Linked DNA regions of Tamandua tetradactyla. The main gene of each other region encodes a partner of the protein of the gene in region 4 in a complex. Links are inferred from orthologs where the notes say so. Each region holds a gene or a part of one and is shown on either strand. Other genes may lie near its edges. The genes, in order: CMC1, TIMM21, SMIM20 and SURF1.

Evidence for each region.
Region 1: SURF1 (region 4) and CMC1 share a complex: the UniProt entries of both Homo sapiens proteins name them as parts of the MITRAC (mitochondrial translation regulation assembly intermediate of cytochrome c oxidase complex) complex. The link is inferred for Tamandua tetradactyla from reciprocal best matches to the Homo sapiens genes SURF1 and CMC1.
Region 2: SURF1 (region 4) and TIMM21 share a complex: the UniProt entries of both Homo sapiens proteins name them as parts of the MITRAC (mitochondrial translation regulation assembly intermediate of cytochrome c oxidase complex) complex. The link is inferred for Tamandua tetradactyla from reciprocal best matches to the Homo sapiens genes SURF1 and TIMM21.
Region 3: SURF1 (region 4) and SMIM20 share a complex: the UniProt entries of both Homo sapiens proteins name them as parts of the MITRAC (mitochondrial translation regulation assembly intermediate of cytochrome c oxidase complex) complex. The link is inferred for Tamandua tetradactyla from reciprocal best matches to the Homo sapiens genes SURF1 and SMIM20.

Annotation. Positions count from the first base shown.
Region 1 is NC_135341.1:60,023,918-60,031,623, forward strand, and holds the start of CMC1 (COX assembly mitochondrial protein homolog), read right to left. Parts: upstream 3,005-7,706; 5' UTR 2,844-3,004; coding exon 2,825-2,843; intron 1-2,824. UniProt on the Homo sapiens protein: Component of the MITRAC (mitochondrial translation regulation assembly intermediate of cytochrome c oxidase complex) complex, that regulates cytochrome c oxidase assembly.
Region 2 is NC_135344.1:8,310,531-8,317,478, forward strand, and holds the start of TIMM21 (mitochondrial import inner membrane translocase subunit Tim21), read right to left. Parts: upstream 3,011-6,948; 5' UTR 2,607-3,010; coding exon 2,306-2,606; intron 1-2,305. Other genes in the region: FBXO15 (F-box only protein 15), read left to right, coding at 3,485-3,627. UniProt on the Homo sapiens protein: Participates in the translocation of transit peptide-containing proteins across the mitochondrial inner membrane.
Region 3 is NC_135345.1:26,179,682-26,186,793, forward strand, and holds the start of SMIM20 (small integral membrane protein 20), read left to right. Parts: upstream 1-4,109; 5' UTR 4,110-4,241; coding exon 4,242-4,350; intron 4,351-7,112.
Region 4 is NC_135328.1:133,183,528-133,191,031, reverse strand, and holds the start of SURF1 (surfeit locus protein 1), read right to left. Parts: upstream 3,009-7,504; 5' UTR 2,989-3,008; coding exon 2,947-2,988; intron 2,795-2,946; coding exon 2,743-2,794; intron 1,427-2,742; coding exon 1,293-1,426; intron 1,189-1,292; coding exon 1,106-1,188; intron 366-1,105; coding exon 183-365; intron 1-182. Other genes in the region: SURF2 (surfeit locus protein 2), read left to right, coding at 3,103-3,180, 3,275-3,429, 4,109-4,212, 6,326-6,508, 6,684-6,838, 7,393-7,476. UniProt on the Homo sapiens protein: Component of the MITRAC (mitochondrial translation regulation assembly intermediate of cytochrome c oxidase complex) complex, that regulates cytochrome c oxidase assembly.

The DNA.
Region 1 (7,706 bases), on a different chromosome or scaffold from region 4:
ACAAATGTAGCACAGTATAAAGCAAGGGGTTAACAACAGGGTGGTATATAGGAACTGTGTAATTTAAGCATTTTTCTTTAAACCTACATCTTCTCTAATAAAAAATTAAAAAACAGTCAAGTAGCAAATGTGAACAAACCTAGGCTTCAACTTATGAACAAACAAAAATGAGGCTTTAACAAAAAAGAGCCTAGCTTTGATGTATTTATATTCTTAAATTTACACAGGCAAGAAAATATAGAAAAAGTCTTGATTCTTGCTGTTTCCACTTTCTTACCTTCCACTCTTAACCCACTCCAATCTTGCTTCTATCCCTGATTTTGCTGAAGTCTCCAAGAATCTTTATGTTGTAGATTTGACCTCCACCATCTACTCAGTTGATAAAGTAAAAAGTCTGGAAATTATCCTTATTTCCTCCCTTTCCTTCACCATCCTAATCCAAAGCAACAACAGATCCTGTCCATTTCTCCTTCAAAACATAAAATGAATCTTACATTTCTCTCCATTTTTTCTAATGCCATCCTATGCCAAAATGGTAACATATTTAGCCTAGACTACTACTACTGTCTCCCTGCTTCCATCATGACCCCCTTCAATCTATGCTACCACTGCAGCCAGCACACTTTAAAGACATAAATTATATAGTGTCACTGCCCTCTGTAAAAACCTTCAAAGGATTTTGATAACATCAGAAAAAATCCAAATGACTTATCATCATGCTTCCAAGGCCCTGCAGCTTCCAGCTCCTGCCTATTTTCCCACGTGTATGACAAAGAGCAGATTAGATGACTTTGAAGATCACTTTCAGTTCAGAAATACCAGAAATATACGGACCTGAACTTTCCTTATGGATCTCCTCCCTACTCTGGCCCTCATTCTAGTTCAATACTTCAAGCATTTGCTACTTCAACTGCCTAGCATACTTTGCCTGGCTCCTGACGTGGTTGCTTCCTCTTATCCTTCAAGTTTCCATTCATATGACACTTCTCATAGAGCTCTTAACTATCTAAAGTAGCCTCTCCTCAGCATCTATCACATGGTCTTGCTTATTTTCTTCATAATGTTTACCACAATCTGTAAAGGAGGCATAGGGGTGTTGTTTTCTTTCATCTATCAAATTATTCTGAGCAAGGATCTTCTGTGTTCTATATACCACTATTTCTTAGGACCTAGAACAATACCTGCAAATACTGAACATTCAAAAAGTATTCGTTCAATTAATGAATATTTGAATGGTAACTTGGCCTATAACACTGGACTGTGAATAAAATTACCTGGATTCTATCCAGACTTGGCTCTACTGGCAATTAGCTGTGTGGCTTTGGGCATAACAAGAGATTGCAGGAGATTAAGAGTGACTTGAAGGTACGAGAGTGGATACAAGTATGAACATTTTTTTCTAAATTTCCTTATCTGTTTAAATTCAAGAATATGGATGTTTTGAAGCTTTTACCCTCTCTGAGTCTCAGTTTCTTCATCTGTATGAGAAAGAGCAGATTAGATGACTTTCAAGGTCACTTTCAGAAATACCAGAAATATATGGACCTGAACTTTCCTTACTCCTTAATTATATCCCTCTCACACTCAACAGCAAAATGAGAGTATTCACTCTGCATCTAAACATTACACAGTGCACTTTAATTCCTATACCTCTGTTCATTCTGCTACCTCTTCACCACTGGAAATTCCATCCTTCAAAGCCCAGATTAAATGCCAACTGCTTAATAGAGCCTGATCCAATTACCTACCCTAAAATTAGTAAAATGATATGCTCCTGCAACTCCTTTATGCTTCAGAGTACTCCTTCATCTTATCACTGACTGGTAAATTAACCTCTCTGAATCTCAGTTTCTTAATCTGTAAAATGGAGACAGTATATACCACGAAAGGTACTACTGTTGGATAACTGAGAATACTTAACGGGCTGGAAAAGAGTGAAATAAATGTTTTACTTCTGCACGATACACAACTTTCATCCTCCTTGAGGGCCACTAAAGTGTCTTTTTCATTTATGAATGGCAAAGCCATTTCACCTCCTAAAGCTTTGGGGTTCCGTATCCATAAAATGAAGGAAATGGACTAGGTCAACTGCCTCGCTCCAAAAAATGATGCTTCATATCTATACATAAATAGCTTAAAGCAAAGACATCGCAGGTGTGCGTTTGCAAGGAGGGTGTCTGAAGTGCAAATGAAACTCCTGCTGCAAACAGAGGTGGGGAAGAAGTATGAAAATTAAGTACCATTAAGACTTAGGGAACCTTTCCCAAGAAACTGACTTGCCACAGTGACTATGTCCTCTAAATTGGGGTTTTAAAATTGGGTTCCAAGGATAAACTTGGGGGATGTTAACTCCCGAAAAGGAATGCAAAATTGTGCATCTGCAGGAATAATGCAAATTTTTTCGAGACGTTAAGTGTCTATACTAGACATCAGATATTTAAAGGAGACTGTGCCACCCACCCCCCCAAAAAAATACAAAGAAAAAACATAAAGGAGACTGTCCCAGAGGGCGAAGTACAGGATGACGATGAAGAAATCAGCCGCGTTTAAGAAGAAAATGTAACTGGACCAGAGTTTAGATCACAAACCTAGATTTCCTCAGTTCCCTAACTCCAACTCCAAGGCGCGGGAGAACGAACCACAACCCTAAGTAGGAGGCAGGACCGGCCAGAAACCCTCAATCAGTCGCCTGGCGTAAGGTGGTGTTCTGCGGAAGCTGTGCAACCCCAGAGCTCGGCACCTTTCCCAGGCCGACCCCCAGAGAGCACGCCCGCGGCCTGAGACCCCGGGCCGAGGCCCCTCAGCAACCCCCGCTCCCCGGTACCTGCGGGGTCGAGCGCCATCTCAGCGGGCGGAGGAGGTGGCAGCCGCTTGGCGGCTCCCGGGCAATGGGCGGGGAGGGGAGGGGCCTGGTCCCAGGCGCACGCAGAGCCGCCCTAAGCGTAAGAAGGAGCGCCGCGTCCTCGGCGAAGCTGGGCAAAGTTCTTTTCTCCCTTCTCTAGTTCCTACTTCCGCCGCTCATTGCGCCTGCGCCGTCTTGGGCCCGCCCCTGACCCTCTTACTCCCGGGTGGAACGGACTTCTCACCGGGAATGACCCCGGGCAGGGGGCGTGGCCGGCTGCAAGAGTCTGTCTAAATCCGAGCTCTTCTCGTGCCTGCCTTCGAAGAAGCAAATGAATTACCCTGTTCCTTTATTTATTTTTTTTTTTTTACTTAACGTACTTCATTCATTTCATGCCTGCCAGTTTGCTAGCTACGGTTCTGAGTACTAGGGGGAAATAAGTGAATAAAAATAAGGTCCCTTAAAAAAAAAGAAAAAAAGGAAATAATGTCCCTGTTCTCAAGGGGCATAATGTTGGCAGGGGAGTCAGACAAAAACAACATGCTGTTAAATGTGATAAACGCCACACACGCGAGAGGTGCACAGCGTGTTCTACCATAGAGGTGGAATGGTGTGTGCGGTACCATTATTTCTTCCTCCAAAACAGCAGGCTATGCCTCCCCTAGAGGTTAAAATAAAAATCAGGACGCTAAGGACACCTCTCGTGAAATAATATCCTCTGGGCCTACAGTCCGTTTTCAGTGGCAATTACATTCTCTTAAATCCCGATTCTGTCCATTAAAGCCGTAAGTTTTGTGAGAAAACTAAAGGAAGTTTATGGCCGCCCTCCTATCGACCTGCAGTTGCCCTATTCCGAGTAGCAGTAACTTTCTCGATGGCACTGTGCACATCCCAACTCACTAACCAGCTTTCCGAAGTGCTTCCTTGTCAAATCCACGTTTAACTAGCTCGAGCCTCCAAAGGGTGAAGTGCGGCCGGGGACAGATGGGACAGATGTTTAGAAAAACAAGGAGCAGCTGTTTTTTCCCTGCGAGGGATTTAGGACTTTCAAAATGATCCCCTCCCCACCTACCTGCAGTGCCTCCTCCCCTACTGCTGCTTCCGCCTGGTCAGTTGGCAGAAAAGCTGACACAGTTGAGCAGGGCTGGGAAAGTGGGTCTCTGCTCAGCAGGTCTTCTGTTTAAGGGCCTATGCGGGCATAACGGGCCTTATTACAGCTGTAGGTTGAGGTGCCAAGGTGCAGAATTAGCGTTTCACTCAGTCAGGCAAGAAATCCGGTCCTTTTCCTTGTGTGCTTTATAAATGTGCTGTAGAAACACCTCGAAACTCTTATTTTTCTGGAGGTAAGGGATTTAATTTAGAAAGCAAATCTTTTTGATGCGATGAGGCGGGGTTGTAGAAAACCACAAGCCGGACACCTCCACTCAAGCAATTAAAGTACATCGAGATAAAGTGGAAAGCTTGAAGAGCTTGGGTCCAAGAGACTTGGGTACCTGACCTTGAATTCTGTATCATGACCTATTTGTGACGTGAAGAAATTTGAGTGTTTCTCTGGACTTATGATTTCTAATTTGCAGGGTTGCTGTGAGGAATGAGTCTGATCTAATGCACCCAGTTTTGGTCATTTGATGATCCCTTCCATAGTTTGTGCCATAAATATCACTTAAGCATTATAATTTAACATTTTCATTTAAATTAACACACTTTTAAAAAACTTAAAAGGACACTATCTACTTTAGGCTCATCCCAAACAATAACATCTGTAAAATCATGGGAGTTTTGTGTGTCCAAGAAAATGGGTGGCTAGACAAAACATACTATGAAAAGCAATAGCAAAAATATCACCTCAAAGAGAATTTGGAAAGCCAGGGTAGGTATAAGTGAAACTGGAAACATTGAAAGAGGCTACATTCCCAAAGCCTCCAACGTTAGGCTGAGTGTTTTTAAATCTATTGTAATAAGCTATCAGGGGCTATTGAAGGTTAGCAAGTAGATAAATGGCATGATGTGCAAAGTGATGTTTTACACAGATTTTTTTGCAGGATGGATTCAGGTGTTGAGAGAGCCAGAAGATTAGCAGAACAATGAGAAGGCTATCGCAGTAGTTCAAGCAGGATCTGATGAGAGTGTAAACTAGGATAGGTAGAAATGAAATGAGAAAAGATGTGAGAGTAATTGCAAAGGAAGAATCTATAGCTCATCACTGAACTGAGAAAAAGGGACATGGAGTCAAGAAGGATTCTCTCTGTGATTCCTTTCCTTCGCAACTGAATACAGACAAATGAGAAAATCATGGCCATGTGCACTTTCATGCCTCAAATGATCTCTCCTAGAGGGCAAAACAGAGAGGTCAGTTAGGAAGCAGTTGCAGGAATCCAGGGGAATAATGACACTAGTTGAACTCCCGTACAGCCTGTGAAGGCAAAGAGAGATGGGGTATTTAGTATGTAGACCGTACATTAAAAATAATAGGAATGAATAAATACAAACTTACATACACATATATATTTATTAATCTAATATCCATGGAATGTGCAAATAGAAACAAATATCTTAATTGTTTATCAAGTCAGTTCTGACTGGATCTAGCATTCCTTTTTTGTTAGCTATTGAAATCCAGTTAGTTTTCTTTTTTAATTGAGATTCATCAGTCAGCCTCTGCCTGCTTCCAGTTCTGCCCAGCATCAGAAGTAACAATTTTTCACCTATAGCTCTGTTCTACCGTGTCCTTGAGCCAATGATAATTAAGTTTGGAAGAATATTAGAAGTCACATCCCTACTAGTAAATCGAGTTTGGAATGAAGTATTGGTTATAAGAGCACTATCCAAGAATCCCCAGTGGGTCCTGCCTGCTTTCTGAGCTGCATGATTTAGCCCTATCCACAAGGCCTAAGCCCTCTCCAAGTAAACACAGTTTGTATGAAATTGACATTCAAGTTCTTTACAAGGACTGGAATCCTTATGTGAATCCCAACTTACTTGGCTACAGTCCTAAAAACCTGCCTAGTTTTAGCCTTCCCCCAAAGCAACATACTTTGTCCCTGTTTGTCCTGGTGATTGAATAGGGTCTCCATCAATCTGGATCAGTCCACCTATTGGTGACTGTGGTAGTTAAATTCAGTTGTCAACTTGGCCAGGTGAAGGTACCTAGTTCTGTTGCTGTGGACATGAGCCAATGGTACATGAACCTCATCTGTTGCTCATTACATCTGCAGTTGGCTAAGAGTCGTGCCTACTGTAATGAATGATGTTTGAGTTAATTGGCAGGTGCTTAAATGAGGCAGCTCAACATAGCACAGCCCAAGCAGCTCAGCATACCTCATCTCAGCACTTGAAGCTCAGCCCAGGCTTTTGGAGATGCAGAAAGGAATCACCCCGGGGAAAGTTGTTGGAACCCAGAGGCCTGGAGAGAAGGCCAGCAGAGTTCACCATATGCCTTCTCACGTAAGAAAGAACCTCAGTTGAAAGTTTGCTGCCTTTCCTCTGAAGAACTATATGTCAACTAAATAAATCCCCTTTTATTGAAAGCCAATCTGTCTCTGGTGTGTTGCATTCTGACAGCTAGCAAACTAAAACAGTGACTGAATCATATCCCTCCCAAAAGATCTAAGGTGTATGAACCCATTTGTACATAGGGCCTTTGAAGATGTTATTATAAGTTAAGGTGTAGACTCATTTATGAATAGGCTCTTTAGAGATCCTAGTTAGATGAGGCCAAATTGAATCAGTGAAGGCCTTGATCCATACAACAGGAGTCCTTATAAGGCAGAAGAAATTTAGATGCAGTCAGTCAGTAGAAGCCAAAAGTCAGAAGTTAGATAATGAAGCAAATTGTCTCATAACAAAGGCAGAGAGATGCAAGTGAAAGAACCCAAAGGATGACAGACAAGCCAGCACTAGAATGCTACAGACTCAGAGAGAAAGCATGGCTGTTGAAACCTTGATTTTGTACTTCTATCCTGCAAAACCATGAAACGATGAATTCCTGCTCTTTAAGTCAACTTATTTTATGGTATTTGTCATAGAAGCTCTAGCAAACTAAGACACCACCTTTCTACCTCAACAGCTCCTGTAGGTCCTTCAAAGCCCACATCCGTTAATCACAACATCCACTCAATTCTCCTTTCCTTACTTAATATACGTTTATTTCATTTACAAGCCACACTGTCACAACTCTTAAAGTCTATTCACTTTTGCATAGATTATTACAACAGCCTCCCAACTGGCTCTCTGTTTCTAGACTTTTCCTCCTCCCATCCCATCTCTCAAATCCATTTCATCCACAATAGTGCTTCCCTTTAACAAGGTTCATAAAACTCTTTATAAACCAATCCCGGCTTACTGCATTATGCTTTCATCATAAGCCTCCTTGAACTGTGAAATTTCTGCCAGATTAAACTATTTGAAATAGTTTATTAAAATTTAAATGCAGATTTTTCTATGCATTATCTGAATAATACAGTTGAGATTCTACTTAACATTAAAATTTGAAACCAATTGCCTAAGTGTGTAGGGGAAAGATAGGAACTTTGGAGCTAAACAATGGTAAATGCTAACTTCTTCACCCCAACTTTTGCCTTTTAACTTCTGTATTGAGTATAATTTATATACAGTAAAAAGCACAAATTTCTGTACAGCCAAATGAGTTTTTACATATGTATACACCTTCAAACTACTATTCAGGACAAGATATGAAATATCTTTAGTAGCCCAGAAGGTTCCCTCCTGTCTGGTCCTCATCAAACCCATCCCACAAAAGTAACCACTCTCCTGACTTCTGTGGACAATGATTAGTTTTGCCTGTTTTGGAACTTTATATAAACATAATTATGCACCATGAAGTCTTTCATATCTGGCTTTGTTT
Region 2 (6,948 bases), on a different chromosome or scaffold from region 4:
TTAAAAAACAAAACAAAACAGAACAAAACACTGCATCTGCCAAAATCTGTGTAATTCATGGGACTGATTCAGATGATAAAGGCCACCACAGAGCCAATCTCTTTCTCAAGGTTCAGTAGTAGAGAGAACTACAATGAGAATATTCCATTCCATTCTCTATTTTTTTTATTTAAAAAAAAAATTTTATTTAAGAAAACAAATACACTCACAACCACCAGTCATTCTCTATTGATGTCACAAAATATGCTTAATAAGTATTCTGCCAGCTGTGTGCCGAGACCCAAGTTGAGAATACAATGACAACTATGTCAATAAGCTGTCATACTCTTTCCTATTACCTGGCTCAGGCCTTTCACTTCAATTGCCCTGGATTCCTGACTGCCCCTGCACCACATTCACCCCTGCCTTGCTTAGGTTATCTGGCATACAGCCACAGTGCAATTGCAAGTCATGAAGTTGGGCAGGTCCAAGCAGCTTCCACTGCCATATAGAAGTGGACACCTATGACTGGGCCTCGGCAAGGGCAGAAGACCTCACTCTACTTTGCCAGCACAGCTCCCCCGCAGCTCACACGAATGGGGTCCCATGACCGGCAAAAGAGGAGCAACAAGGCCAAACTTGGTTCATGGATGGGCTGGCTTGCTATGTGGGAGCAAGATGAAAACAGACTGCTTCTGCATGATTGTTTCATTCAGGGGTGGCTCTGAAAGACGGAGATGAAGGGAAATTGTTCCAATGGACATTTCTGGTCATTCACTTTTTTTGGAAAAGTAAGTAAGTAGCCTGAGGTACAAATATATTGGCTGTTCCATCAGGGACTTGGAAAGAGAAAGACTAGAAGATAAGGGAACAGGAGATCTGGGGGAAAGGCATAGGGATGGACCCATGGGAATGGGCCCAAAGCATATGAAGTTCACTGAATCATGTTAATGCCCACCAGAAAGTTTTCACTATGGAAAAGGTACTAAACCACGGATACAGAACCTAGCAGTTTCTGTCATCCCCAACTCATGGGCTCATGAACACAAAGCTACTAATCGGAGATGTTTATTGAGTCTGAACTACAAAGTTTTCCATATTGATAATTACCCAATGTATCTATTTTCAATCTATTTAATCACTCTTTTATTCTACGCTGTCTAGTACTTTTTCTATGTAGCACAATTAATCTTTTTTTCACTCTTCGTTTCATGTCCTGTAGCTATTTTCTTCCCAATTAAGAGGTAAGCTATTTCCATATAGAACTTCCTTGGCACAGCTATCAGAACCTGTGCTGGTTTGAGACTATAGTGTACCCAGAAAAGCCATGTTCTTTTTCCTTATCCACTCTTGTGGGAGCAGATCTACTATTTATGGTGGTTTCTTTTGATTAGGTTGTTTCCATGGATATGTGACCTACCCAATTGTAGGTGGGATCTTTTTGATTAAGTTGTTTCCAAGGACATGTGTCTCTTCATATTCAAGGTGGGTCACTTACTGGAGTCCTTTAAGAGGGAACTGTTTTGAAAAAATTTAAAACTGACACAGACAGAGACATTTGGAGATGCAGAAAGAAAACATCCCTGGGAAAACTGCTTGAAGGACCAGCAGACACCAACCACATGCCTTTCCAACTGACAAAGGGTTCCACACTCCATCGGCCTTTCTTGAGTCAAGGCATTTCTCCTCTGGATGCCTTAGTTTGGATATTTTTATGGCTTTATAACTGTAAATTTGTAACTTAATAAACTCCCTTTATAAAGCCAACCCACTTCTGGTATATTGCATTTCTAGCAGCATTAACAAACTAAAACAGCACCCATCCCAGTACAAAGTATAGAGTCGGTGGAAGCTCATCTTGTGAACTGCTGTCTTGAAGAACACCAGCCTGGATATTAGGAAAACTGACACAGGAAATATATGCATTTAATTTTCAGTTGTGTGGTATTGCGGAGGTATGCCTGGCACATAAAAGGAAAAGTTCTAAATTCTACTTGAAAGAATCATGGAGACTCAAATGAGATGAAATAACATCTGGCAAATTTCCTTAACTAAAAAGTGTTATGTAGCTAACACAAGTTGAGAAAAAATTTTCCAGATGTAATTCAACAAGTTCATAACAAATTCAGTCTCAACTTTCACATCTGAGTTCAAACTTGAGGAATAAATTCATTCTCTCTGATTCTAGATTGTGTTTAATGGGTTCTACCTTTGTGTGTGTGCGTGTGTGTGAACTATTTTTCAATTTTTAGCTCTGAATTTTGTGTAAAAAGGGCTTCATCACGTTTGTTGACGAGCTGATCATTACTGGAGTTTTCCTTTTTACCTTTCTGTGCCGTGGAGACCGCAGGTCCTTCGCTCTGACTCCTCTGCACAGACACTTGTTTGCTGCTGTCCTCCTGTGCCCTCCGCGGACTCCATCCCTGCGTCCAGATGTTTTTCTGGGTCCCTCCAAGGGTACATCCAAGCCGCACAGGTTTCCTCTGTTCTGGCAGCGCCCATCTCAAGGTGGGCCCAGTCGTCAAGGCAGCGTTCTGAAGCACAGCGTGAGGCAAAAACACTCGTTTCCCCGAGGACCTGCGCAGCCTCTCCGTATACTGTACGGCGCGTAGAAAACTCCACATCATGTTCACAGACGGCGGCCCCGCTTAGGCAAACCGCTAACTACAATAAACTTCACAAGCGACTACACACCCAACCGGCCGTTTACGTAAACAAAGATGATCTTCCACGGCGTGTGCGGTAAAATGTCGGCTCCTGCAGTTTACACTAGGAGGAAAGTCTCTGCAGAGAAGTCGACGTTCACCTTCCCTTCTCATCAGTCCTTTTTTCACTGGAATTATAACGCTCTGACTAACCTTCCCCGCTGACATTCACATTCACCCAGCCATGCCTTCGCGAAGTACCTGGAAACGCACAGGAGTCTGGGAAGAGTAGTTCGATAACGTCGCTCCTCACTGAGGCGCCTCAGTGGGGAAGGCATTGAGGACTATATTTCCCAGAATGCAAGGCGGGCAGGGTGCGCGCGGTCCCCGCCTCCTCCCAGGATCCCCCGCGCGGGCTGCCTGCGCTTGCGCCTCACAATCCTGGCGCTGCCTCCGGGCCTAGTCTGAGCAGATCTTAAATCCTTGCTGCCAAAGTAGCGGTTTTACACTGCATGTTCTAGTCACCTAACTGGAGAGGTCTGGGTAAACTGGGATAGTCTCAATTTTAATTGTGGCTGGGCCGTTCTCTCTGGCAGTCTCAGGCAGCGCCTCAGGCAGCGCGAACCAGCAAATGGGAAGCGATTAGGCCCGCCAAAAGCCAGACCCGCTTTTCAGCGACCTGCGGTGCTTGACTTGCTCGGGCAAGCTGTCAGAACGCTCTGGGCGTGGGAAAAAAAAGGGTCCCAGAAGTTTCTAGAATAACGCTAGGGCTGCGTCATTAAACCGCGCGGGTCATTGCTTGGCGGCCGCTGTGCGTGCCGCATTCCTGCGCACGCGCGTCGGGAAGGCGCCCAGTCTCCATGGCGACCGGACGCGGCAGGTTCCATCCACAGCCTCAGCGCAGCCCCAGACTGGGGGCCCTAAGCCGGCCCCTCGGGGGTGTTGGTGTCCCGACGAGAATCGCAGTAGAGGCCGCCACGTGCTTTGGGGCCACTTTGTTCAGGTGATGGTCAGGAAGGCCCTTAGAGGTCTTACCGGTGGGCGTGCGCTGGAAGGGAGGCGCGGGGTGGTGCTCTTGCTTTGAGGGAAGGCCCTCTGGCTTCTGCACGGTGCGCCTCGCTGGTTATCACCCCAACTCCCCTTTCCTATTTGTTCCCTCTGGGAGATTCGCCGTGGCTTATTTTTTAATTTGGTAAACATGCACATACACACGTTTCTATGACATAAAAATTGTCAATTTAGCGATTTTTAAGTGTACAGTTAATGGGAGTTAATGACATAAAGTGTGCAACCATCACCACATTCCCCCAATTTTTTACATCACCCCCAATCCAAAACCCTGTGCCCACTAATACCTCCCATTCTCCCATCCTCTCTCAGGCCCTGGTAATCTTTCATTTATTTCTTGTCTATGAATTTGCCTATCCCACTTATTTCATACTGAGTGTCCTTTTGTGTTTGGTTTATTTCGCTTAGCATGATGTTTTTAAGATCCATCCTGTGGTAGAGTGTGCATCAGAACTTCATTCTTTTCGGTGACTGGATATTCCTTTGGATGTATGATGTATACACCACATTTTATCTGTCCTTCTGTTGTTTCGACCTTAACTGCTGTGAATAATATCAAGTCCCTGTTTTCACTTCTTTTGGGTATATACCTAGAAGTGGAACTGCTGGATTATATACCTAGAAGTGGAATTGCTGGATTGTATGGTAGTTCTATGTTTAACTTTCGAGGAACCACCAGTTTTTTCTGGTGACTGCACCTGTTTGCATTTCCATCAGCAATGTATGAGGGTTCCACTTTTTCCATGTCCTCACCAACACTCTTTTTAAAAAGTTATAGCCATCCAAGTAGGTTTAAGTTACTATCTCCTTTTTTACTTTGCATTTCCTTAAAGACTAATGATCGAACATCTTTTCTTGTGTTTTATATTTGTGTATCTTCTTTGGAGAAATGTCGTCTCAAGTCTTTTGTCCGTGTTTTGATTAGATTGTTTTTCTTTTTGTTGTTGAGTTGTTGGACTTCTTTATATATTCTGCGCATTAAGCCCTTAGCAGATATATTATTACAGATATTTTCTCCCATTCTGTGGGTTATCATTTCACCTTTGTGATTGTGTCCTTTGATGTACAAATATTTTTAATTTTAATAAAATATAATTTATCTCTATTTTTTTATCTGGGCTTTTGATGCCAAATTTTAAGTCCACTCTTGTGAAGATTTGCCCCTGTACTTTCTTCTAAGAAATTTATAGTTTTAACTCTTAAATTTAGGTCTTTGATGTATTTTGAATTAATGTTTGTATTGGTATATTGTAAGGGTCTAACTTCATTATTTTGCTTATGGATATCCAGTTTTCCCAGTACTATTTGTTGAAAAGACATTTTCTTCCCTCATTGCTTGGTCTTTGCATCATTGTCAAATATCAGTAGACCATAGATTCACATCTATGCGTTTCTGGGCTGTCAGTTCTATTTTGTCCTTATGTCTGTTTTCATTACTGTCACATGTTTTAAAGTCAGTCATCTTTATCAAGATGGCTTTGGCTCTCTGGGACACTTGCAGTTCCATATGAATTTGAGTATTGGCTTTTACATTTCTGAAAAAAAAAAGACTTGGAATTTTGGTAGGGATTGCATTGAGTCTGTAGATCACTTTGGGTGGTATTGACATCTTAAAAATATTCAGTCTTTCAATCCAAGAACATGACAATGTCTTCATTTATTTATGCCTTCCTTAATTTCTTTCAGCATTGTATCGTAGTTTTCAGTATACAAGTCTTGTGCTTCCTTGGTTAATATAAAACACATTTTGTGTCCTGCAACTTTGACAAATTCTTTTATTAGCTCTAACAGTGTGTGTGTGTGTGTGTGTGTGTGTGTGTGTATTCTTTAGGGCTTTCTAAATGTAAGATCATGTCAGCTGATAATAGAGATACATTTTTTTCTTTTCCAATTGGAATGCCTTTTATTTTTTTTTTTCTTGCTAATTACTCTGGCTAAAACTTCCAGTTCTGTGTTGAGTAGAAGTGACAAAAGTGGGTTGTCTTGTTCTTGATCTTAGGGGGAAAGCTTTCTTTCGCTCACCACTGAAAATGATGTTAGTTGAGAGTTTTTCATATATGGTGTTTGCCATATTAAAGACGTTTCCTTCCATTCCTAGTTTGAGGTTGTTTTTTTTTTAATTATGAAAAAGGAGTTTTGCCAAGTGGTTTTTCTGTGCCAAATGAGGTGATCATGTGTCTTTTCCCCCTTAATTTTATTAGTGTGGTTTATTGCATTGATTGGTTTTCATATGTTGAGCCACCCTATGCATTCTTGGGGTAAATCCCCTTGGTCATGGTGTATAATCAATCCTTTTTGATATACTGCTGAAATCTGTTTACTTATGTTTTAGTATTTTTGCATCTGTATTCATAAAGAATATTGTCTATAGTTTTCTTGTATTGTCTTGTATTTCTTGTATTTGTCTGACTTTGATAACCGGGTAATGCTGGCATCATAGAATGAGTAAAGAAGTGTTTCCTCCTCCTCAATTTTTTGGAGGATTTTGGGAAGGATTGATTAGAATTCTTCTTTAAATATTTGGTTGAATTAATAAGTGAAGACTTGTAGACTTAAAATGTCTTTGTGTCTTTGTATCTAAAATGAGTGTCTGTAGACAGCATATGGATGTATGTTTCTTTTATCCATTTGCCAGTCTTTACCTTTTATTTGAAGATTTTAATCCATTTACATTTGAAATAATTATTGATAAAGGAGGTACTTCTGCCATTTTGCTATTTGTTTTTTGTGTATCTTGTGTTTATTTTTTATCTTAGTCTTTTGGGTCTTAATTTCCCTAATACTGCCCTTTTCGTATTTAGCTGATTCTTTGTGATGTACCATGTTGAGTCCCTTCTTTCCCTTTTTGTGTGTTTTATAGTTGTTTCTTAATGGTTACTTTGGTGCTTACATTTAACATCTTTAAATTTTAACAATCTAGTTTGAATAATACCAACTAAGTTTCAATAGTATATACACATTCTAGTCCTATAATTCTCTGTGCCTTCCTCTTTATATTATTATGGCATAGATTACATCTATATGCATCATGAGCCCATTAACATATTTTTGTAATTATTTTATGCATTTGCCTTTTGAATCAATAGGAGAAGAAAAGGAGTTACGAACCAAAAGTACAATAATACTGGCTTTTATATCTACCTATGTACTTACCTTTAACAGTATCCTTTATTTCTTCATATGGCTCTGAGTTACTGTATAATGTCTTTTCATTTTTTCTTGAAGGATTTCCTTTGAGCAAATTGTAGGGAATGCT
Region 3 (7,112 bases), on a different chromosome or scaffold from region 4:
GGGATCAAAGGGAGGACAGGATCAAGTAAGTAGGCCTTGATCTTGAAGGCATACTTCAGGCATGTGAGGTTGGGGTTCAGCAGGGAGGCTGGGCCTAGAGGCCTAGCTCTATTAGTCATGAAGATCTTAGTTAAAACTGCAGGGGCATAATATGACAAGAGATAAGCCAAGATGGTTATTTGGGATATACTCTTACATATAAAAGACAGACCAAAGAAGAAACTTATCTGAGTCATAAGTATTTATACAGATGGGTAGGAACTTAGAAAGTCATTGTACCCCCTGAAAGCAGGAAAACATTTCCCCTACTTATTCTCTTATTCTCAAAAGTACACATCCAGAGAATCCCACCCTGTTCCATCCCCCAAGTTTCTAGTCTGTTTTCCTGCACAGATTAATGATTCTTCTTGGGAATCCACAATATTCTAAAAATACATCAGTTGGGCTGCAATGCCACAATTAGTGGAGCTGCTGTCCCAGGAAACCTTCTTCACCATTCTGCTTAGATCAGAGAGTGGATTAACTTTGATGTCTGTCTGAACCCTGTAAGAGACACCACTGGCGGTCTGCTCCCCACCAGCACTCAATCTTCATATTCAGGAAGAAGGAGAAAGTGCTGGATAGGAACCTAAATCAATTTTTTTTTTTTACTGAATGAAATGAAAATATGCACCCTAGGATTCTTGACATATTTGACTTGCATCCTCTTTCTCTACATCCCTTGGATGCTTTCTCCTTTTGCATAAATGCCTTTCTCCAGACCCAAACTTCCTCTGCTTTCACAAACATTAGCACAGCTATGCAGCCACCAGTGCTTCATCTATGGCATGTGTTGGAGGTAATGTTCATTTCTACATCCATCAGAACTCCTGGTGGCCACCAACTGAAACAAGCTCTGACTAACTTAAACACAAAGGGAGTTTGCTGGAAGGATATGGAGTGGCCTGCAGAACACAGTAAATGATCAAAGAGTCAGGCAGCAAAGGGAAACAGCCAGGGAAGCTCCAGGATTATTGGCAAGTGGGAGATATACAAAAATCTCATCTCCACTACAGCACTGCTATCTGCCCTAGTGTCATCATTATCATGATTCCTATCTCTGGGAGAGAAGAACAATTGAACCAGGATGGATCATTTGCAACTACAGGCAACACTAGTTTGCTGACTTTGTAAGGCAAGTAAGAGCAGGTCTCCAGAGCCAGACAAGCTGGGTTTGTCTGCTTACTGGGTCTGGTGCTTACTAGTCATGTAATTTAGTTTCCTAAGCCACTCCAGCAAATACCAAGAAATGGGGCAACTTGAACAATGAGAATTTATTAGCTTACAGTTTTGAGGCCAAGAAAATGTCCAAATCAAGGCATCACCAAGGCACAACTTTCTTCCTGAAGACCGGCTGCAGGTACTCCTAGGCTCCTCTGCCACATGGCAAGGCACATGGCGGCATCTCTTGCAGGTTTCATTGATTTCAGCTGCTTGCTTCCGTGGTTTTCTTTCCCTCTCTCTGTATTAATTCTGTTTATAAAGGACTTCAGTAACAGAATTAAGAGCCATCCTCATTGTGTTGGGCCATAGCTTAACTGAAGTCGTGTCATCAAAAAGTCCTACTTACAATGGATTCACACCCACAGGAATGGATTAACTTTAAAAATATGTTTTTCTGGGGTACATACAGCTTTAAACCACTCTACCATGTGACCTTGGGAATGTCCTTCTTACTATGTCTCAGCTTCCCCGTCTGAAAATGGTACTTATCCCCAGGTGTTGCTAAGTGCTGAACGAGTAAACCTATGGTAATAACTGGGAAACGGCAAGTGCTCTGCAAGTTCTTATTAGGAATATTGCCTAGAAGTGTACAGGAGACCCGAACTTATAGTCCAACTGAAAATTTCAACATGACAGGAAATCCCCTGAGAGCAAATCAGGTGCCAGTTTTTGGGGACACTGAGTGACCAAAAAGCAGTTACTATTCACTGCCACGTCTTATCCCTCTAACAGAATGTAGATGCCACAAGGACAATAGACTGTGCTGTTTTACTCACGGCTGCATCCAACAGCCCCTGAAAAGTGCCTGGCGCATAAGGCCTAGCTCAATGACTCTTCATTAAGTATATGAATGTTGACCAATTCCTTTTGGTGTTTCCAAGCATCTTTTACAGTGCTTTGCCTGGAGGAAGCACAAAATAAGTATTTGTTGTCTGAATTTACAGGTCAGTGGGGAAATAAAAATCGAAGAGGGTGGTTTTCTCAGAAATGGAGAGAACACTGTGATGGAAGAAATGAACTTGCCTTTTGTAGGACTCGTTGGCAGGTAAGTGATAAATAACAGCTTTTTCTTTGGTGCCATGATGCTAATAATCTGCACAAATGGTATAGATGAGTTAATTACTTTTGCTGGTCAGACTAAAGTCTTAAGATCAGCGTGAAAGGGACAGATAAACCACAAGTCACTTGCAAAACACCCTGGAGGGGATGGTGGCTTATTTACCACATGGGTTCTGTGCCCTGCCTTGGAGGTGCTTCTGGTAACTTGCCAGGAAGCCCAGATCCTATGGCACTCTCCATACAGAGGCCCCAAATATAACTTCAACATCTGGTTTCTCTTCCTCTCTCAGCTCTCCTTCTGCTGTGCTGAGTCCATTCTCAGTCTCTAAGTGGTGGTTAGGAAGTTTGGCCAGGCTTGGTTAAATGCTTAACTCTTAGAGCTGGGAGAAGTAAGGATGGGGTCTCACTCCCATGGACTGAAAGTGGGAGAGGAGTGGTTCACCAAAAGATATTTGAGGTATTATTAACAGTCAAAAGGGAATGGATGCTGGATTGCTAAAATGACAAATGTGCACTCCCCCTGGGTATTCCATAATATGTGATATAAAGTATGTGTCACAGGTTCACTCTTTTCCATGAAGGCTTCTATCTGCACCATTGCAAGCTCCTCCAAGTGCCTGAGGAGCAGCTGTCTCATCCATCTTCCTATTCTGAACCATATCACTCATCTTCAAAAAGCTCCATCAGGTCATTAGTTATCTGTCCTGTCTCTTCAGCCATGCAGAAGGATCCTGGAGAGCAAAGGTCACGTCTGATCCATCTTTGTGTCCCTGTAGCACTTTGCCTGATGTTTGGGGCAAGGCAAATAGTCCATACATGTGCTGACAGATCGAACAACTAATTTATATGCTTCTGGAACCACAGAGGTAGATGGTAGCGTGATTCAACTACAACACTACCAAAAATGAGGAAAGCTGTGCTCTCCATATCATTTCTCAAATATATTAGATCTTCTTTAGGCTAAACAATGCTGGTGGATCAAAATAAATTTTTCCTTAGCTCCTCAACCCCAGCTACTGGTATCATCCTTATGTATAAGGGGCTGAGAGAAGGTCCAAGGAATCTTAGTCCTCCTGAGCAGTCTGCCAGGAAGGGAGGTGAGGTGAAGAGGGTGGGGGGTGGTGGTCAAAGGAAGAGGAAGCAGATGTCGGTTCTGGGAGACCCACACCCCACAGAATAAGGCAGCGCCCGCGAGGTGGGACTGGCCGCGGGCTCTGCCTTGCACTGACCCCTGCCTGAGTCTCATTGCAACCCTGGCATCCCAAAGAGCAGTATAGGAAGAGAGGAAAGGAGGGAGAAACGCAGTCAGTAACACCAGGCAAGTCTTGATCCAGGGGTCTCAGTGGCCCCGGGTTTCCCACAAACTACCCTCTACAAGGCCAAGTGACCTGTCCAAGGCCGCGCAGCCGAGCAGTGTTTCCCTCACCGGTCAAAACAGGCCCACTGGGGAAAGAACGAGAGAGCGTGGCTGGTAAAGGAGGGCCTGACAAAGGGGGTTCGGAGGGTGATAGGTGAGGGAGAAACCTGAGGAGTCGTGAAGGAGGAGGCAGGAGACGGCATGCGGGAACCAAGCGCGGTAAAAGGTCAAAGCAAAAACCGCACCTGCGCGGGGAGCGAGCGAGTGTAAGGCGGTGGAGGGCGTACCGGGCCCCGCCCCTCCTCGCCCCTGGCCCCGCCCCTCCTCGCCCCTGGCCCCGCCCCTCCTCGCCCCTGGCTCCGCCCCTCCTCGCCCCTGGCTCCGCCCTCGACTCCAGGCCAGCCCCGGCCGGCCTCCTAACTCCGCCCCCAAGACCCGGAAGCGAACCGGAAGCGAAAACCGCTCCACCTTTTCCCAGTAGGGTCACGGCCCGGCGGACGGGAGCCGGGGTTCCGAGACTAAAGAGCGCTTGGCGGGTCAGAGCAGCCCGTTGCCCGGAGCCATGTCCCGGAACCTGCGCACCGCGCTTATATTTGGCGGCTTTGTCTCCCTGATCGGCGCCGCCTTCTACCCCATCTACTTCCGGCCCCTCATGCGGCTGGAGGAGTACCGTGAGTGACCTCTGACCCCGCGCGGCGGCCTTGAGCCCTGTCACCCCCACGCCCTCCCCTTCGCCCGCTGCACCTGTTGCGGAGGAAGGAGGCAGGCCAGGGTTCGAATCCCGCTCTGTGCAGCTTTGTGGCCGTGGACAAGTGATTTAACTTCCCAAACCCTGAGCGTCCTTATCTGTAAAACCGGGAGAATAATAAGAGTGCCTTCGGGGCTCTTGGGAGGTTCAAACGTGATAATCATGTATGTGAAAGGAGTCTGCACATAGTAGGTCGGCGGCAAATACTACGTCATCCTCATAGTTAACGTTCACTAGAAGTCTGTTATGTGTCCGGTTAGGCGATGCATTTTAATTTTCCACAGTCTGATTGGTTGCTGATATTATCACCCCGTTTTACAGATGAGGAAGTTGAGACACTAAGAGATGTGGTAAAACTAGTAAGTGGCAAGGCAAATATGCCAAGCTGGCTTTGTCCCCAGAGCCTCATCCACACAGGGGAGCTAGGAGTGGTGGTCAGGCGGGGAGGCAGAACCCTGATGATCTTGAGCTTAAAAGGTATTTTTATTGTTCCTCATTTCCACCCCTAAAGATGTCTTTGAGTGGAAATGTTCCAAACCTGAGCTGTTAACCTGGATTTTTTAAGTTCTTCTCCTTTCTGCGCTTAATATTTTTCCTGATTCTACTGTTGTGGTTTTTTTTTTTTCTTTCTTTTTTCTTTTTTTCATTTTAAACTAGTTGCTCACAAGACAATGGTGAATATCCTGGGAGTAATTTTCCTCCTTAATCATTCAAGTCCTATCATTCTAAAAGCCAAACTCTCCTTCCCTGAGACCTATACCTCAGCAAGGATTAGCACTTTGATATATCTGAAACCATCTGTCAGAGAAAAAATATTAGGCATTAGAGGCTCATTTTGTTCTCCAGGAAACCTGAATCATCTTGTAGATGGAAGAAGGCTAACCCTGCCCCTTGAGAATATTAGCGGAGGCTGAAAGCTTGGCGATTTGAAGGCGAAAGCTCCATGTAAATGCACTGCACATTGCAAAGGCTACAACACTTTGTTTCTGGAGGCAGAGTGTTTTAAGTACACATGTAGATTTCCCTGGCTTTTTTTTTTTCATCATCCAAAGACTGAAATGGCCTCTGTACTTTCTGCTCTCCAGCATATCTCCCTGCACTACTGTGGGGGTAAAAGTGGGGCTGTCAGAAACTCTGCCTAATCTTATTTCCAACCTCCTTTACTGGGTCTTTATCCCAGGCTATTTTATTACAGCATCTAGAGTTGAATTTGGGATAAGGGGGTCTGCTTTGGATCCCATTAGAAAGGTTTGATCAGTTCTTAACTCCGGTGATTTTGCCCATGAGGTGGACATACGTCTGGAGACCTTTTGGGTTATCACAGATTTGGGGGGAGGGTAGCCTATTGCCTGCCCACTTTTCTGACCCAATTTTAATTTATTTGGCCAAGTTTACTGGAAGTCATAGCTGGAAGGTAATACTAAACCATGAATACTTGTTGAAACTTTGCTGTTTGTCTGGTGCTCTTCTAAGCATTTCATATGTATGTTAGGTCATTTAATTCTCAAAACAACTCTGTGGTAGCTTCTATATGATCATCATTCCCATTTTAAATGTGGGGAAACTGAGGTATGGAAAACTTAAGCAACCTGGACATGGACCCACAGCTGATGAGTCCCAGATCTGGGATTTGAACCAGTACCCTTAATCAGTACAGTATAGCACCATATTACCTCTCTAAGGGCGTAAGAAAAGAGAGTAAGGCTGAGAATAATCTGAATTAATCCCTTACTAGGTGGGTGACCTAAAGTCACTTAACCTGAGCCCCTCCTCTTTCCTCATCTGTAACAGTACAGCTTACAGGACTGAATTTACAGGTTGTTGTGTGAATGTAATGAGGTCAAGGGTGGGGAAACATCTAGTGTAGTGCTTATACAGTACTTATATTAAGCATTCCATTAAAGCTTTTGAAAAATAAGGAACCATAGGCAGCAATGTGAGATGAAGAGATTTAAGTACGTGGGCAAAACCCAGAGTTTGCTGACCAGGTAGTAAATCGGGTTCGTGCAGGTGGGGCATTCATGACTGCATCATGGGATAGAGCTTCAGTTCATTTCAACACATTCAACCTGTATTTATTTAGTCTCTTTTCACTCATTGTTTTATTGTTTTTATTTTTTTTTTTATGGCTCAAAACTTGAATAGCGAAGGTTCATGCTCAAATATGAGCATAGGCATTCTCAAAGGAAGAGAAGCAGTCTGAGGCCAGGATCCTTGCATTATAAGGACTTGGAGGGGTCCTCTCTACTCTAGCAATGCTAATAAGGGATTGCTGAGCTGTACTTTTCATTGGTCATTTTCAGGTGCTAACGTGAGCAAAGGCTAGGTGTGTGTGGGCTAAGTATGTGGGGGCTGGATATGTGTGCCAAAAGGAGCTTTTTGATATGGGGTTTAGGGTCACTTCCCCCTCCCTCCTTCCGTATCTAACCTGCCTCATTCTGCACTCAGAGAATTCCGTCCCTCAATCTTAAGGGATGCTGAAGGGAGGAGTTCAGTCTCTGTAACTACTTCCTGCTGACAGAGGGGGCATTGTCCCTGCTTAAATGGGAGCAGAATTCTCTGGCTATCATATCTAATGATTCTTCTGGGAGGGTATAGGGGTTTTTGCATCTTTCTTGTTCTGGTGTCATTCCTTGGTTGTCTGTTGATGTTTTACAAGAGTGTTCAATCTGTACCCATGTCTCA
Region 4 (7,504 bases):
GATGGTTTAACAAGTAACAGAATTACAGACTTGACAATTCAAGGAACTGAACCTTTCTTGGATTGAGAGTTCCCCAATGTCTTACGAAGGTTGAGGGATGAGAAGAAAAGAATGATAATGGGTTTTCTGCCACAACTTCGTCACTGTGCCCTGGTATCACCTTTGCCATACCTGCTACTCACCCCAGGTCTGAGCAGTGGAAAGGGGTGACCACGTGGGCACCACTCTTGGCGGAGGAGGAGATCTGGCCGGCCTCCCGGGAAGGGTCCACCATGGTCCGTGGCATCATGTACAGTTCCTTGGAGTGGTCAAAGTGCCCCCTGACCCTCACTGGCCTGTACTCCAGATCTTTCAGTTCTGTGGAGCTATGTGAAAAGCATAAACAGATTTCAGACTAAGCAAGGCTGGACAGGAAAACAAACCCTCTAACGCTTATGTTGTACATTACAAACCCAAAAGAGCAGGACAAGGAGTCAAAAGGGAAGGCAGTAGGAAATGGAGGGACCTTTAAACCACAGGGTCTGCCCTCTAATAAGGATGGCTGAACCTCAGCTCCAACATTGCAATGCCATATGGGAATGAGGATCTGCTGCCAAACAGTCTACTTTCCCAAGAGAAGCTAAAAGTGTGGACTCCTGTGCAAAAGTGTTACATAAAGTTAGTAAAATATGTCAAAGCTCCATTTGCAAGTCAAACAATGGGAACCTTTATTGAATACAACGCTCCCTCTAGGACAGTGCTTTTAAATGATGTGGGGAGGACTATAATCACTTGGGGCACTTGTTCATAATACCTTCATGCTAAGACCTGCTTCCTCTGCTCTCACCCACCAGCTAAGAATCACTACTCTGGACAGCCATCAGCACTGGGGTGGGGACAGAGGAGGGCTTATGTACATGCACCTGACCAAAGGTTAAAACCAGGTGAGAAGGTTCTGAATAGATCAAGCAGCTTCCCAGTTCAGTTTCAGTAGGAAGCCCAGCAGAAAGACTGATCTCGAGGGCTCCCATCTGAGGGCAAACGGGGGCAAGGTGGCTAGTAGAAGTCAGGCTTCTGCTGCTGGCCTCAAGTGAGCCCCATTCAGGGTAGGCAGCCACACACTTACTCTGCGGGCAGAGATATGGGCTCCGCCATGACTCGAGATTCTAATTCTGCAATCAGCTTCAGCTTCCACTTCCGACGTTGGACCTTAAGAAACAGCATCAGCAGACTCCTGAGCAGACTGCAGGGAGGCAAGAGCTCAGAGGACTGGTTCCTGCCCCCCTCAACCCCCGACCTAGATACCACTCTACCTGCCATGTTCCCAGGCCAAAGGCTGTTACAGGGATGAGAAGCAGGAGCCACCGGAAAAAGGAGTCATCCTCTGCTTTTGTTGCAGGTGCTTCTGCTGTAGAACTGCCACACCTGCTTAGCCTCCAGGCCACCCCTAGAGGAAGCAAAAGAGCTGGAAAAAGTGCTACACTAATGCAAAAATGTTAAAAATGGAAGAGGGAGGCATATGGGAACTCCATTTTCTTCATGATTTTTCTGTAAACTTACAACTTCCCTAATTGGGATAAAAACAAAACAAAAACCTAGGTAAAACTGGATCATTCCCCACCCCAGAACATGCGTAGAGTTGCCTGTATAAAAAACAACCCCTACCTGCAATTGAAAGTATATGCCTTTGTAATTTAAAAAAGAGAGCGTTGGGCACTGTTGAATTGACAATACTGGCACGGGGTCAGAAACCCCAAAATAAATAGAACTGGGGCAGAAATTTCTTAAGAAGACACCACCAATGTTGCCTGAGAATGTGGAAGAGGAATGAACAGATCAAAACCTGCAGTTAAGAGCCAACGAGCAGCACTGCATCCAGCCCAGCTCTTAACCCAGTGCTCAGCACAGCAAAGGCTCAGTAAATGTTTGTTTGACTAAATAAATAAGACCCAGGACTTAGTTACAGCTCTGCCACTTGACCCTGAGTAAATAAGTGACCACTTCATGCCTTTTTGCTCATGAATACACTAAAACGTATTCTATTGCACTAAAATGCACTAGGGATTTGCTTGCTCAAAAACATTTATTAAACAGCTAATGTGCCAGGCACCACTGGCTATTGTATTATAAAGAGAAATAAGTATCAGCCATAAACTCAGGACAGTGGTTTACAAAGCTCTCTTAATAGCTTTTCTTTTTCATTGTTCAACATAAATTTAAAGATGTAACAATGTACACAGAAGACACATTTAAGCTCTCAGAAGGCAAGTCCCATCTGCTGAAAGCATTATGACATTCAGATGACAGAAAAGCAGGCCTGCAGCAGGCTGGCAAAGTACCCTCTCCTATTTGTACAGAGCACTTTCCTGGGAACAAAGTGCCCCTTGACCTGGAGGGAGAAGCAGTCTGGAAATGTGGCGTTTACATATGCTTTAGTTTGAAGCTCAGAGGCCAGGTTCCAATCTCAGGTGGGCCCTCATTAGTTGGAGCCTCATCTGTAAAACTGGAATAACAGGACTCCCTCCCCTTGATTGCTGTGAGGACAAAGCACTCGTTATGGCGCCGGGCACATAATCGAGGCTTGATAACGAGGCATTTAATCTAGAATGTTATTTCACGGTGAAACCCTTTCACACGGAGCTTACATTCAGTCGGTGGTTACGGAATTTATTTTAATCCCCAGGTCGCCCCTTTAAGAAGAAGGGGCTGAAAGTCGGGTGGTTCTTCCTCGGTCCCTAAATCCACCCTGTGCCGAATCCTCACCTGGGCACGCGGGGACCCCCAAGAGGCGTTTCCTGACTGCGCCGGCCGGGGCCTGCGGAGACAAGGGATGACCTGGCTCCCCTCCTACGGCCGCCGCCTCCCCCTCCCTGGCGCGCAGCCCGCCCGGGTCCCGCCCGCCCCTCGCTGGGACCCGGTCTCATGCCCACCCCCCCGCCTGCCCCCGCGCTTCGGCCCAGCGCACACCGTGCGCAGCAGCAGCCCCAGCCAGCTCGTCGCCGCCGCCATGGCACCCGGCGGCCCGCGAACACTTCCGGGGCGCGGGAGCTTCCGGTTCCGGGTGGCCGCCGAGTCCCTCCCCGCCGCGCAAAACCGAAGCTGCCGGGCTGCGCGCTGCGAGCCATGGTCGATCTCCACGCCGACGTGCGGGCCTTCCTGCGCGAGCATCCGGCGCTGCGGCTCGAGCCCGGGGCCTCCAAGGTCCGCGGCGGGGCAGGAAGGGGAGGCGGACGGACCGGGGGACCGGTGGGCGGCGGGGGAGGCCCCCTCTGACGGCCCCGGGCCCCGCCCGCAGGTGAGGTGCTCCCTGACGGGCCACGAGCTGCCGTGCCGCCTGCCGGAGCTCCAGGTCTACACCAGCGGCAAGAAATACCAGCGGCTGGTCCGCGCCTGCCCGTCCTTCGACTACGCGGAGCTGAAGCCGCACATTGTGCCCAGCACCAAGCACCCGTACGTGGGCAGCGCCGCGGGGAGGGCGAGGGCGGCGGGGCGGGGCGCGCAGGCCGGTGCCCCCGTCTCCCCAGCACCTTTCCGCACGGCCGCTGGCACCCGGCTGGCCAGCGCCTAAGTGCCTGGCCGAGTCCAGAGCCGGGCCTCGGGCTCCGGGGTCAGCGCTTCTCCCAGGAAAACCAGTTCTCCAGGGGGAGGGTCCCTGGGCCCGGGGAGCATATGTCCTGTGCTGTCACGCGAGGCTGTCGTGCGTGTCCTGCCTGCTGCCGAGGGGGGCATGAGGGTTGTGCTTCGTCTCCTGAGATGCTGAGTGTTGGGTTTCACGTCTCCCCTGGCTTAGCCGAGAGCACTGGTTGACAGGAAGCATCACAAGGGAGACTTCGGTGGTGATGAGTTCTCCCATTTGTTGAGCACTTTGCCAGCTCTGTCAGGTCGTGAATAGGCATTCTTTCTCCCTGGAATATTCCAGGAGGCTCAAGTCTGCCTATTTTATAGGTAAATGCTAAAAGGCTCCATCAGCTGTGATTCACCTCTGCTGCGGGGTGGACTGGGTGGGGAGTTCTTGCAAGGCCCAGTGTCCAGGCTGTGCTGCAGACTGTCCCATCAGCCACTGGGGGTGGCCGGGAGCCCTCTGATGACCTGTCCCTGTGCCCTCCAACTGTACTTTGCCTGCCCTCAGGCACCAGATGTTCTGTAGGCTCACCCTGCGACACATCAACAAGTCCCCAGAGCACGTGCTGCGGCACACCCAGGGCCGGCGGTTCCAGAGGGCGCTGCGCAGATGTGAGTAGCCTGGGAGGGCGGGGAGGAACCCTCCATCAGAGGGTGCTTAGGACACAGCCTGCCTCTCAGTGCAGATATCGGGGTGACAGAGAGAGCCACTTCTCAGAGACAAAGGTGATATCTTGGGCATTCTTCCATGATATTTTGCCAGTGCCCAGGTCCAGTCCAAGCACAGAGGACAGTGGACCGTGGTCCTGCCCCAGAGAGCTTGGTTTAGTAAGCACGGGTGCAGTGTAGGAAGCAGACTTGGAAGTCTAATTGCAAGTTGTGGCATGCCTGCAAAGAAGGCGGTGCTAGGCAGGTGTCCAGAGGCCTACCTTGGACAGGGTGGGAAAGGATCTCCAGGGTTTCTCTTCTGGTGGAGACCTGAGGGACATGGGGCTAGGGCCACAGTGCTCCAGGGGCAGGAGAGGGGCCGGACAAGGTCTGAGGCAGAAGAGATTCAAAGGACGGCCATTGTGGCAGCGTGCCAGGGGGCTTGAGGGACCGGGTCACAGAGGGCCTTGGAGGCCGTGGCCAGGACCACCAAGGGATGGAGCATGATCTGCTTCGATCCTTCCGGCTTCAGGTAGATGGGAGTATCAGTAACCAAGGCAGCAGAATGGAGTCTGAATAGCAGGTTTGTGGTGAGAATTAAGGTTCCTTGGGATATGTTCGGTCAGGTCTATTATTGGAGTGTCCTTGAGACACTCCAATACCACAAGTCATAGAGGCCGAGGTGGTGCTTGTGTCCCCCATTGGGGTGAGCATAGGAGGGGAAGGTCCGAGCACTGCAGAGAAGGGGCCACATGAGGGGGAGAACCCCATTGAAAGTGGTGCCTCAGGGCCTGAGGAGGGTCTCCGGGAAAAGGGGTTGATTCCATCAACTGCTGGTGAAGGGAAGGTGAGGACAGAAATATCGTGAGGTTTGACCATTTGGAGGGCCCTGGCGACCCCAGCGAGGGTGGTTGTGGTGGCTGTGGTGGCGTTGTGAGACAGCCTGGGGGCGTGAGTGAGCATCCCGGGAGCCTGCCACGTGGGGTCAAGGATGGAAAGCCAGTCTTTGCCTGAGTGTGAAAGCAGAGGAAGCTGCAGGAGGGTCAAAAAGGCAGGACATGGGCCTCTCAGGAGCAGAAAACAGGCAGCTTGCAGAGCACGCTGTTCCAGATGAGAGCCGGTGGTGGGTCTTCTCCAGGCATGCTCAGCTGCTCTGGGGCATAGGAAGGAGGAAGGTGGGGGCTCAGGGCTGAGGTTTTCGCAGTGCGTTCAACAGGACAAGAGGGAAGGACCGAGTTGTAGTGATGGACCAGGGGCGTGAGACCAAACAAGGAGGAAGTGAGGCCACTTTAGGACAATGGTCTGGAGTCAGAGACCTGGCCGAGGATGTCCGAAGAACAACTCCAGGTCCGTGTGCAGCTTCTGGTGGTGATGGGGCCTGGCTGCCTTGCCCCAGGGAGGTGTAGTGTAGGCTGTGGTGGGGTGGAGCGCAGGCACCTGAAGGTGGGACCGAGGCAGGCAGGGAAATTAGAGACCAGGGCCTTGCAGGACTGGCCAGTGAGGGGTGAAAGCAGGAAGAGGGAGCTGGTGTGTCCTGGTGCCCAGGCTGACCTAGTGCTGCACCCCTGTGAGGGAGCCACAGTGGCCCCTAGGGGGCTGTCTCTACCCAGCCTCTGCTCACTGCCTCTCCACACCAGGGACCCAGCTTCCCTGGGTTGGCAGCATGGAAGGCATCAGTGGGGGTCCTGGTGAGGGCCTTCTGTGGGAGACTAATGCGAACTGCTTTCAGCCAAAGGTGGGCCAGGGCGAGTGGCAGGCCCGACTATGCTGGAGGACCACACGTCCGCCTTCCCTTGGGACAGCTCTTCTTGTCTGTGCCTGTTTACTGCTCCCAGCCTCTATCTCTTGGCTGGAACGAGGGATAGGATGGCAATGGCCGCATGGGCCCATGCTGACTTCTGGGCTCCCATTACTCTCCCTGCACACTTAGCAGGAACTGAGCCAAGGATGTGTGCCTGCCACTGCTCTGAGCTGCCCCAGTGGGTAGGGGTGCCAGGGCCCTGTTCACAGTCTGGTTGGGGATGCACAGGACTCGAGGGAGCCACCAGGTGCCAGGCAGCATGTGCTTACCTCCCAGATGAAGAGTGCCGGAAGCAGGGAGTGGAGTTTGTCCCTGCCTGTTTGCTGCACAAGAGGAGTAGGAGGGAAGGCCAGACAGATAGCGATGGGTCGCTTGGCAGAGGAGCACACTTCTGGGAGCCCGCATCCAGTGACGAGGAAGGAGCCCAGAGCGATGACAGCATGACAGATTTGTACCCACGTAAGCAGCATAGGCCCTCTCTACCTGGCCAGGCCCAGTACAACTTCCTCTTCACACTTCACTGTGGCTTAGTCCTGGGGTTCCCACCAGCATCCCTGGCTCTGGTCTGGGCCCTTCTCACTCCTACTGCATGTCCATCCCTCAAGCTTCAGCGTGCTCCCTCTGCTCCTTCCAGCCGAGCTGTTCACCCAGAAGGCCCCAGGAAGGACTGAGAATGGGGACCACACCAATGTCATTTTGATGGCAAGTGAGGATGATGCTGGGGAGGAAGGCACTGGGCTCGCAGGGGAGACTGGGGTGGCCCCGGCGCTGGACCGGAAACGCGGGAAGGTGAGTTTCAAGTTCTTTGAAACAGTAGGTCCCCAAGCAAATGGAACCCTGAACTTAACAGTATACAAAGAAAACACCAGCCAAGGCTGCTATGATTAAGCAAAAGCTGTTACTTTGCTTAGCGCTTGCCTGGAAGCAGCTACAAGGAGCCCTGGCTCCCTGGACAGGCTGAAACCACCAGTCTAAAAGCAAAACCACCTAATGGGAGTTGGGATTTGCTTTTCTTTGCCACTGTAGCAGAGGATCCTAGAGAAGAAACCCCATTACTAGATGCCATCCTTTGCAGTTGGCAGGAATGAAGGTTCTTGTCCCCAAGGATAAATCAGTGGGGTTAGGCTAGAACGGGTCTTGCTGCAAAGTTCCAAAGCGCCACTGGCTGCCCTTTCCTGTGTCCCCTGGAGCCATTCCATCCAGCAGCTAAGCTGTGGCAGGAAAGATGACAACTGTCACACTAAACTCTCTGCATGGGGGGTGGGGGAGCCCTGACTTCACAGAGCCCAACATCTTAGGATCAGAAGGGTTCTAACAAATAGGATTTTCTGTTTATGCCACAGAAGCAGTCCAGTTCATTGAAGAAGAAATTCAAAAGCCATCACTGCAAACCTAAGAGATTTAGCTCTTTGAAACAGCTGGGTTAATACAAGATAGCTGGAGAAACTCTTTAGC